2 linked regions of the Rattus norvegicus genome follow. The protein of the gene in region 1 purifies or fractionates together with the protein of each later gene. This does not show direct contact. Links are inferred from orthologs where the notes say so. Each region holds a gene or a part of one and is shown on either strand. Other genes may lie near its edges. The genes, in order: Snx33 and Dnm2.

Region 1 (4,602 bases):
AAGAGGGCAGATAGTGGCTAACAGATAATGCAGTGATAGTGACTAGCAGACAGGCCAGAGAGGGAGTCTGTGCTTAGAGGCTGTGAAGAGAGAGCCTCTGAGAGGGGAAAGATAACCTGCAGTGTGCTCTTACCTGTGTCTTGATCCTCTTTGAACCCATGGGTTCATCTAAGACAAGACCTGGGACCTGGTTATCTCTGTGTTCCCAGAACTCAGAGTAATACCTTGGGGTTCCATACATGATGGGATAAATGAGACACAGGAGAAAAAAAAAGAAAGAAAGAAAGAAACCAAAACAAATCGATGACCGCAATGGACAAGAGGCATTCACAGAGCTCAGTAAGAACAAAGACCAAAGCGTCCCCACTCTCCCTCTGCCTACAACAGCACTCTCCAGAGAACCGTGTCAACACACTTGTTGAGCCAGCGAAGGAGACGCAGACAGGAGAGTGTGATGAGCTGTTCATAGTCCAGGCTCTCCCATGTTCCCAGAGACCAGTAGACTCATGAAGGGCTTACCTTTCTGCAGGTGGATAATGTCAGGGAAGTTGGAGAGTAGGCCCTGGTAGAGAGACAGTGTGTCGAGCATTTGGAAGAGGTCATGCTTGGGCTGTCCAGCAAACATTTCTCCAACGGTTTCATAGGTCCGGCCAGTGTGAGAAATGGCATTGTTGAGAGCCTCAGACCTAAAGGGAGGGTCCATCTGGAAGGCATGGCTAATGGCCTGGAAGGCACTTCCGAGCTTCTGGAATTCCTTGCGGAAGCCTCCTACATGTTTCCGCACCAATTCTGCTGCTACAGTGCTAAGCTGTAGGACGCTGTCATCCATCTTCTTACTGAAAGCCTTGAATGCGTCCACCCGATCCTCTACATCCTGCAGATCCTGGTGTTCTGTGGGGATCTGGAAGGTGAGCAGGAAACTGGCACCCACCATCTCATCCTTCTCTGCTCGGCGTTTCCCCATCTTCCACTGTTTGTCATCCAGGCAGCTGAGGAAGTGCTGGAAGCCCTCATACTGGGAGAGCACAGGGTGGCTGGTCATGTGGTCCATCCAGAGGATGAGCCTTCGCTTACGTTTCTCAATGAAGTCCTCCTCAAAGCGGCCTGTGGCCTGCTTCTCAGGCAGGTGGGGCACTGAAATTACTGTGAACTTGTGCAGAAGGCGGTTGTATAGCCAGTCAAAGTGTTTGTAACGGCGGTAAACAGGTGAGCCAGCGTGGGTGGGCGTAAGCTTGTAGGAGATGTAACTTTTAATGCCTTTGAACTTGGTCTGCTTGGTGGGGTCCTCTATGGAGCAGGCAAATGGGTGGGGATTGGCCTTCCACTGAGGCCCACGTGGGCCCATCTCAATGGAGTAGGTCTCAGCAATCTTGGCCATCATGGGCACATCACCAAGGATGAAGGCCTCCACTCCAGAGCGTACAAAGCATGAGAAACGATTGAGGTTCCGTCCTACAACACTGCCCCGCTTGGCAGACGCTAGACTGTCCTGCCTTTCCAGGGGTGCCTTGGGTCTGAAAGCCATATGCTGGTTGGGGTAGGCACCCGGGTAGGAGAGGTTAAGTGGAGGGTGTCCATTGGTACCTAGGCCACCAGCCAGTGGCTCTTCTACCACTGTGCATCCATCATCCCAGTCATCCCAGTCATCGTCATCATCATCCTCAAAGCTTCCTTGGTTTGAGAGGAAGCCACTGCCCCCACTACTCCTGGCTGGACTGGCCGTACTAGGGCTGCTATACAAACTCACCTGGGTGCCCAGGGAGCCTGCAGGGCTGTTGGAATAGTCCCCATGGTTGGTGCTGATGCCAGGACGAACAATCTCAACGTAAGAAGCAGGGAAGAGCCCTGTCTCCCCACGGCTGTTCTGTCCCTGCAGCCAGCCGTCCAGTGAGGTCTCGCTGAAGATAACCAAGTCTTCGTCCTGCTGGATGCTGATTTCCTCCTTGTTCTCGCTGTGGAAATCATAGAGGGCTCGGCCTTTCAGTGCCATGGCTAAGTTATCTGTTAGGTCAAGACTGGAAGGAAAATGCCTTGCCCAGACCCAGGTTGTCCAGCAGGGAGTCCAAAAGAAAAGTGCTTGCAGCTCAAAGTCTAGTACGCCCTACTGAGCCCCTTGGACAGGGTCTCAGCTGCACAGATGCTGTCTAACTGCCTCTTGGTCAAAGAAGTGTCCATGGTCCAGAAACAGCCTTGGGGTATCTGCCTGTATGCAGGGAGGGGTTGGTCATGGCCGCAGTCTTTCTCCTCTCCCTTTGCAGCCCATGAAAAGGAGCGAGTCTCTCCCTCCCCACACACCAAGCAGAAAAGTCAAATGACTTGGAGAAACCAGCTCTGCTAGAACAAGAACGGGACAGACACTTTCTACTAGAACAATGTTGTACAAAGGAAGAGAATTAACCTCAGACCACGGTCCCAGAAACGCAGGCAAGGTTCTGCCTCTCCTGGCTCTCCGCTCCTACTGGCTGCTCCGGCTTTGGGAGGCTCTCACATTCCTCTGAAGATCTGCTCCTTCCTCCTTCCTCTCTCCTCCCCGGCCACCGAGTCTTCAAGAATCCAGAAAATCCAAGAGGGGCAAGGAGAATAACAGCAGAGTCCTGAACCAATTCCAAGGGTGGATGTGTCCGGCCTCCAAACGAGCCAGGCCAGGAAAACAAGGGCCAAAGCTTGCACAACCAGCCGATAACTACTCGACCTAGGGGGTGCGACCCGGTCTCACCCGCTCTGGTGCCCTCTTCCCGCCCTGCAAATGGCCAGCCCCCACCCCCAGATAACAAGGGGGCGCGACAAGCGGCGCAGAGGACTTCTGGCCTCTTTCTCTCAGTGCCTCTTTTGTTTGCCTAATTCCTCGGCAGTTTCAGAGTACGAAGCTGACCCGGATCGGAGACCCAGAACCCCTGTCCAGAAGTAAAGCTAGTAGAAACCTCCACCATCACCATCACCATCCCTGCCCCTGATGTGCCCCCAGACACTCAACAGCAGTCGGTAGATAGAGCTCTGTCGAATAGATGGCGTGGCCGGGTGTTTGTCGGACCGTCTGTAGGTTCGTTCTCCGCGATGCCCTCAGGATACGACCCGAGAGGGACTAGCTGAGTAGCTGAGACCCAGCCTCTTGCCTCCTTACCCCTCACTCGCAGCCCTTCAGCGCTGCCAGCAGGAAGCCAGGTCCAAAACAAACAACCTCCTTTAAAAAACAAAACAAAACAAAAAAACAACAACAAAAAGAAAAAGAAATAGAAAAAAGAAAAAGAGAGAGAAAAGGGGGAAAAGGGAGTCCAGGAGGTGGCGTTCGGAGGAAGGAGGTTAAAACTGTAGGGGAGGTGAGGGGTGGAGAGAGAGGGTGGAAGGGAGGTATGAGGGAGGGAAAGCAGGCTACGGAATTCAACAAACTCTACCGCACTTCCGTGCGTCCTGGCCGGGCTGGGACCGCGCAGCTCCTCCCTCCCGCGGCCAGGGTGCCACCGCCGGCCTTCCGCTCACTTTCCTTCTGGCGGGCGCCCTCTCTCTCTCGGGTTCAGTCCGGGTGGCCAGGATCCAGGAAATGGACCCGGGAGTCGGGGAGCTGCGAGCTTTCAGCAGCCGAGTTGCGGGCGCCCAGAGTAGCTTCTCACTGGGGTTGGAGCGCCGCGCGGGGGAGCTCGCCAGCCGCCGCCGAGCTTCGCCTCCTTGACTTGGTCATCCATCTGCCTTTTCCGTGACGCAAGTGCAGGAAAACTCCGAAAGTTTGCGGAGCGCAGAGTGGCGAGGAGGGAGCTAGGAGAACCGCCCCAACTGCAGGGGAACAGAGCTGCGGACTCCCTTCTCCCAGCCTCCTTTCCAGCCTCGGGTACTCTTATCTGTCTAGGGACTAACACAGCTCCGGGATTGTTCTCAGAGGGTGGAGGCAGTAAGCTCCCAGCCTGGTGTCCTGCACGTGATAACAAATGCTGTGAGCCTGATTGGGGAGAGGAGCCCTCCTGCCTTAGGCAGCTCCTAGGGGGTGGGGGGTGGGGGTGGGGGGGCTGAGGGGGGAGTGCGTAAGACCACAAACTTCTGCACTGACAAGTTACAAGCTTAGGCACAGGCGGATTCTGGTTGCTTTGTCCTTTCGCGGGAGCCCGATCTTCCATTCAGGCCAGCAGCAAATAGCTAGGAGAGAGGAGTGGTCTGGTAGATAGCCTCTAGGCTTCCAGGATTTGACCCTCCAGATTATGCAAAAACTAGATGAGCGCTATTTAAGACAGGAATTGCCCTGAACTCTGGAGCGAATCTCAACAGTTGGATTGCTGCTGTGCCCCTCTGGTTTGTAATTCACACAGTCTGTCTCATCATTAAGTTATATATCCCAACCAACAAGTTAACCGCAACTATGCTTATCTTCTGGAAGGTCATAAGTATCCTCACAGGTAGGCAAGGTGTTCCTGTCTAGTGTAGCCAAATGCCATGGGAAGACACTTGTCCCAGCCTGAGTGTAATACATATCAAGGACATTCCCAGCGTTGGGCCTACACCTTCAGTACCAGCACTAACAAAGACACGTGGTTCTCTGAGTTTGAGGCCAGCCTGGTCTAGAGTGAGTTCCAGGTCAGCCAGGGCTACAGAGAAACACTGTCTCTCTGTTTCTAT
Region 2 (4,388 bases), about 38 Mb from region 1:
GACATCTGGACCTCATGCGAAACCTGTTACATTTCAAGTCCTTGGCCTCCAGGGTTAGCAATCTGTATGCAAACCTCGGCAAGGGGCTGGGCCAACTCAGACGTCCTAGAGTACACTAATGTTCTTAGAAAAATCTAAGGCGGCACTGACAGGAAGCAGGCTGAGCTGTCCCTAGGTGCTTGGCACACTCTCTCCTTTGCTCCTGGCTGACAGCCAGATGTCCACTGATGGACATTCAAGAACAGCAGAAGGAGGAAACAGCAGTAGGGTCAGAATAGACTCTCAGTTCTGACTGTTTAGTAAAATTCACATCAGGAAATAGAGAATGGGACTGAGTGGGACCCTCTTACCGAGGCCGCATAATGCAGGTACATTATGGCATTCTAGAGTAATCACTATGTCTTAAGCCAGACATAGTGGTGCATACCTGATCCCAGCACTTGAAAAATGAAATCTGAAAACTGCTGCTACAATTCTGGGGGCCAACCTGTGCTATACAGTAAGTTCCAGGTCAGCCTGGACTACAGTATGAGACTGTTTCAAAACAAACAAACAAACCAACAACAACAAAAAAAAAAACCAGGAAGGGTGCTGTACACCTTTAATCCCAGCACTCAGGGGGCAGAAGCAGGTGTGTTCAAGGCCAGCCTGTCTATGTTGTGAGATGCTATTTAAAAAACGAATCAATAGCTGGGCTTGGTGGCACTTGCCTTTAATCTCGTCAACTGAGGTAGAGGCCAGCCTGGTGTACAAAGGGGGTTTCAGGACAGCCAGGGTTCAGTTACACAGAGAAACACTGTCTTAAAAACAAAACAAAACAAACATGGATATGTGCATATGCATATACATAAAATGTTTATTTCAGCACCTAAAGCCACAGTCATAGAAAGATCTCTGAGTATGAAGCAATCAAAGAAAACATAAATATCGATAATATTTGTTATCAATTGGTGCTGGGAACTGACCCCAAGGTCTTATTCATGCTAGGTAAGTTCTCTATGTCTGAGCTTAGCCCACAGCTCTCTCTTGGCCTTTTTTTTTTTTTTTTTTTTTTTTTTTTTGAGACAAGGACTAACAATGGAGGCCAGATTGACCTCAAACTCAAGAAATCTGCCTCAGACTCCCACGTCCCTAAGGTCACAGGTTCAGCCTAAATAAACACTTCCAACAACCCAGTCCCTGCAGCCTTGCATCAACTTTGAAGGTTTTTGAGACAGGGTCTGACTATGTATCCCTGGCTGCCCTAGAACTCTATGTAGAGTGAGCTAGCCTCAAATTTAGGGATGCCCTGCCTCCACAAGACTGGTAACAAAAACACACAACACAGGGTGTGTGTGTGTGTGTGTGTGTCTGTCTGTCTGTCTGTCTGTCTGTCTGTCTCCGTCCCAATGTTAGGGTGAGGCAGAGAGTGGTGGATCACTGGAACTCACTGGCCAACCAGACTAGCTGATCAGTGAGCTTCATGCTCAGTGAGGGACCATGTCTCTAAAATTTAAGATGGGAGGACAAACGCCTAATGACCAGAGTTTGATTCCCCAGGACCCACAGAGAATTGGAAGGACTTTACAAAGATTATGTCCCCTGACTCCACAAGTGCACTCTGGCACACACTTGGACACACACACACACACACACACACAATGATAATGTCCACAGCAAAGCAAATGTTATCACTGGGCACACACTGCAGCATCATACATGGAGCACTTCCTGGAATGGAGAAGTGCTGCTGTGTGCAAGGCAGAGGGGGAGGGACAGGAGTAAATCAACATCCCTTCTTCACTCACTTCCTGGATCCTACAAACAGCTGCGAGTGGAATTTGCCCACTGGACAGATGGAAGAAGCTGAGGCTCCCAGAGCTGTCTGGAGAGCATTCCAACTGGGAGGCTTTAGCTTAGAAGTCATCTGACGGGTTTGGGGATCCTGGGCCAGGAAAGAACCCTACAGAATGTTTCTTCCCAAGTTCCCTGAGTTCTGTCACTCAGAGAGGATGGACAGGCAGGGGTGCCTGGGCGGTAATGGAGAACAGACTAATGGATGGATTCACTTGGAAGACAAGAGTCAGTCGGCCCAAGAGAACCAGATAACAAGAGGCTACCAAAGTTCAGCAGGTCAGATGGCAGAGGCCCACTCAAGTAAATAAGGGGCACAGATGGGCATTCGCACACGAGAGGTCACCTCAGATGGCTAGCCAGACAACGGTGGACCTCAGAGTGGGTCTGGACAGATGGGACAACCAAATGGTGCCCGTAGGAAGCCTGTTCAGAACGGATAACCAGCTAACCAGACAAGAGAGAAGGCTCCAGATAAATAACTGGCCAGACAGACCCCAGGGGTCATCCCCCATGGATGGCTGGGTGGCAAGTGTTATCTTCAACAGCACACACACTAAGACTTCCAGGCAGCAGGAGAAAAGAGGAGTGGATCACCACAGATCACAGGCAAAGCGATGTCAGAGTTACCCAGCGATAGCCGGAACTAGATGCACCAAGAGAGGTTTGCATTGACCGTCTTGCCCCAAACACCACCCACGATCATCGACTAGTACCAGACCTGGATCTCCATCTCCAGTCTCTGAGAAAAGTCATGGAGACTCTTGCCCCAGACCTTACCCAATGCCACCGGTCCTGAGGCGTCCGCGAGCCGCAGTTCCGCCATTCCCCGCCCGCCCTCCGCGCCCTAGGCCGCCGCCCGCCCTCCCAGCCGGAGCCCCAGAACCGCCGCCGGCGCGCTCGCTCACCGGCCCACGAAGTTCTCGAGCACCGAACTCTTGCCGGCGCTCTGGCCGCCCACCACGGCGATCTGCGGCAGGTCCAGGTGGCAGCTCTGACCGATGGAGCTGAAGGCGTCCTGCAGCTTGTTAACCAGCGGGATGAGCTCTTCCATCCCGCGGTTGCCCATGGTGCCCGCCTCCGCCCCGCGGATCCCCCGACTACGACTCGCGGTCCCGATGCGTCTGTGGCCGTTGCTTCCTCCTGCTCTGCTCTGCCAGCCCGCCCGGGCTCCCCTTCGCCGCGACGCCCGCTCCCGGCTCGGCCTCACAGTCACCGCCTCATCCGGTTCTCAGGCGACACCCGACCCGAGCAACCTCCCCTCCCGGCCTCCGGGGTGGAGCCCGCAGCCCTAATGCTATATCTAATTGGTCAATAGCACTGCCACTCAAGAACGTGAGCCAATAAAAAAGGCACGAGGAAGGGTTAATTTCACAAGTTCACTGGGTAATAAAACCGTCACTCTTAAATGAAAGCCAATAGAAATCGAGCCGGGTTGTCAGACCGGGAAGGCGGGGTCTCTGGGAAAGACATTGAGGCCTCAGCTCACGGATGCGCGTTGGCTTATTGGTCACACAAAACGTCAACCTGCCAATAGTGTAAGGAATCAATCCTTCTACACTGGATTGTCACTTGACACTAGTTAATTCCGTAAAAATTTCTCATTGGTTGATATAAATATCACTTCTCTACTCCAACCAATAAGAGAAAAGAAGAGCCGTAATCTTTTTATACAGTTTCTATACAGTTTCTGTATGCTGGCTACAAACTCTCGATGTTCCCCCTGTGTCCACCACCCGGTCTTGCTAGGATACACGTTACTAGCGTCCCAATCCTGACTGACAACCGCGTCATAAAAATTCTTTCAGCTTTCCTGGCATTTTTTAACACTTTGTGATATTCTTTTAAAGCAAAGGGCCACAGTACTCAGGGAGGCGAACATCGTGGATAAGGTTCAGTGATTGTCACACCTGAATTCTGAGGCTGTAGTGAAAACTTGTATTTTAGAAAGCCTCACAACTCCTAGCTCTGAAAGAATCCCAATGCCAGTGAAGATAAGTGGACACTTCTGCCTCACAGAAAAGTACTCTCGTCTTCTCATGCCTGTATCTGTATATTACTAAGGATTGAGTCTACGGTTTCATGAAGCTAAGCAAATGTTTTACCAGTGGCTACAACTCTAGGGTTATTTTTACTTTATTTTATTTTTTGCTCCAAGAGCGATGGCTCAGTGGTTAAGAGTACTCGCTGCCTTTGGAGCAGACTCAAGTTTGGTTCCCAGCACCCACATGACAGCTCACAACCATCAGTGAGTCCAGTTCCAGGAATCTGACACCCTCTTCTGGCCTCCATTAGTATCAGACACAGACATGACACACATACCTACATGCAAGCAAACACACCGATGTACAGTTTTTTAAAAATTCACATAACATTTAATTTTTTAGAATTATCTATTTATGTATAGGAGTACACTGTAGCTGTCTTCAGACACACCAAGAGAGGGTGCCAAATCCCATAACAGATGGCTGTGAGCCACCATGTGGTTCCTGGGAATTGAACTCAGGACCTCTGGAAGAGCAATCTGTGCTCTTAACCACTGAGCCATCTCTCCA

The links.
Region 2: the proteins of Snx33 (region 1) and Dnm2 purify together in Homo sapiens (co-immunoprecipitation; 3 studies listed by BioGRID and IntAct, with this or other methods). This does not show direct contact. The link is inferred for Rattus norvegicus from reciprocal best matches to the Homo sapiens genes SNX33 and DNM2.

What each region holds. Positions count from the first base shown.
Region 1 is NC_086026.1:66,220,612-66,225,213, forward strand, and holds the start of Snx33 (sorting nexin-33), read right to left. Parts: upstream 2,899-4,602; 5' UTR 1,991-2,898; coding exon 520-1,990; intron 1-519. UniProt on the Homo sapiens protein: Plays a role in the reorganization of the cytoskeleton, endocytosis and cellular vesicle trafficking via its interactions with membranes, WASL, DNM1 and DNM2. Acts both during interphase and at the end of mitotic cell divisions.
Region 2 is NC_086026.1:28,253,211-28,257,598, reverse strand, and holds the start of Dnm2 (dynamin-2), read right to left. Parts: upstream 3,011-4,388; 5' UTR 2,903-3,010; coding exon 2,742-2,902; intron 1-2,741. UniProt on the Homo sapiens protein: Catalyzes the hydrolysis of GTP and utilizes this energy to mediate vesicle scission at plasma membrane during endocytosis and filament remodeling at many actin structures during organization of the actin cytoskeleton.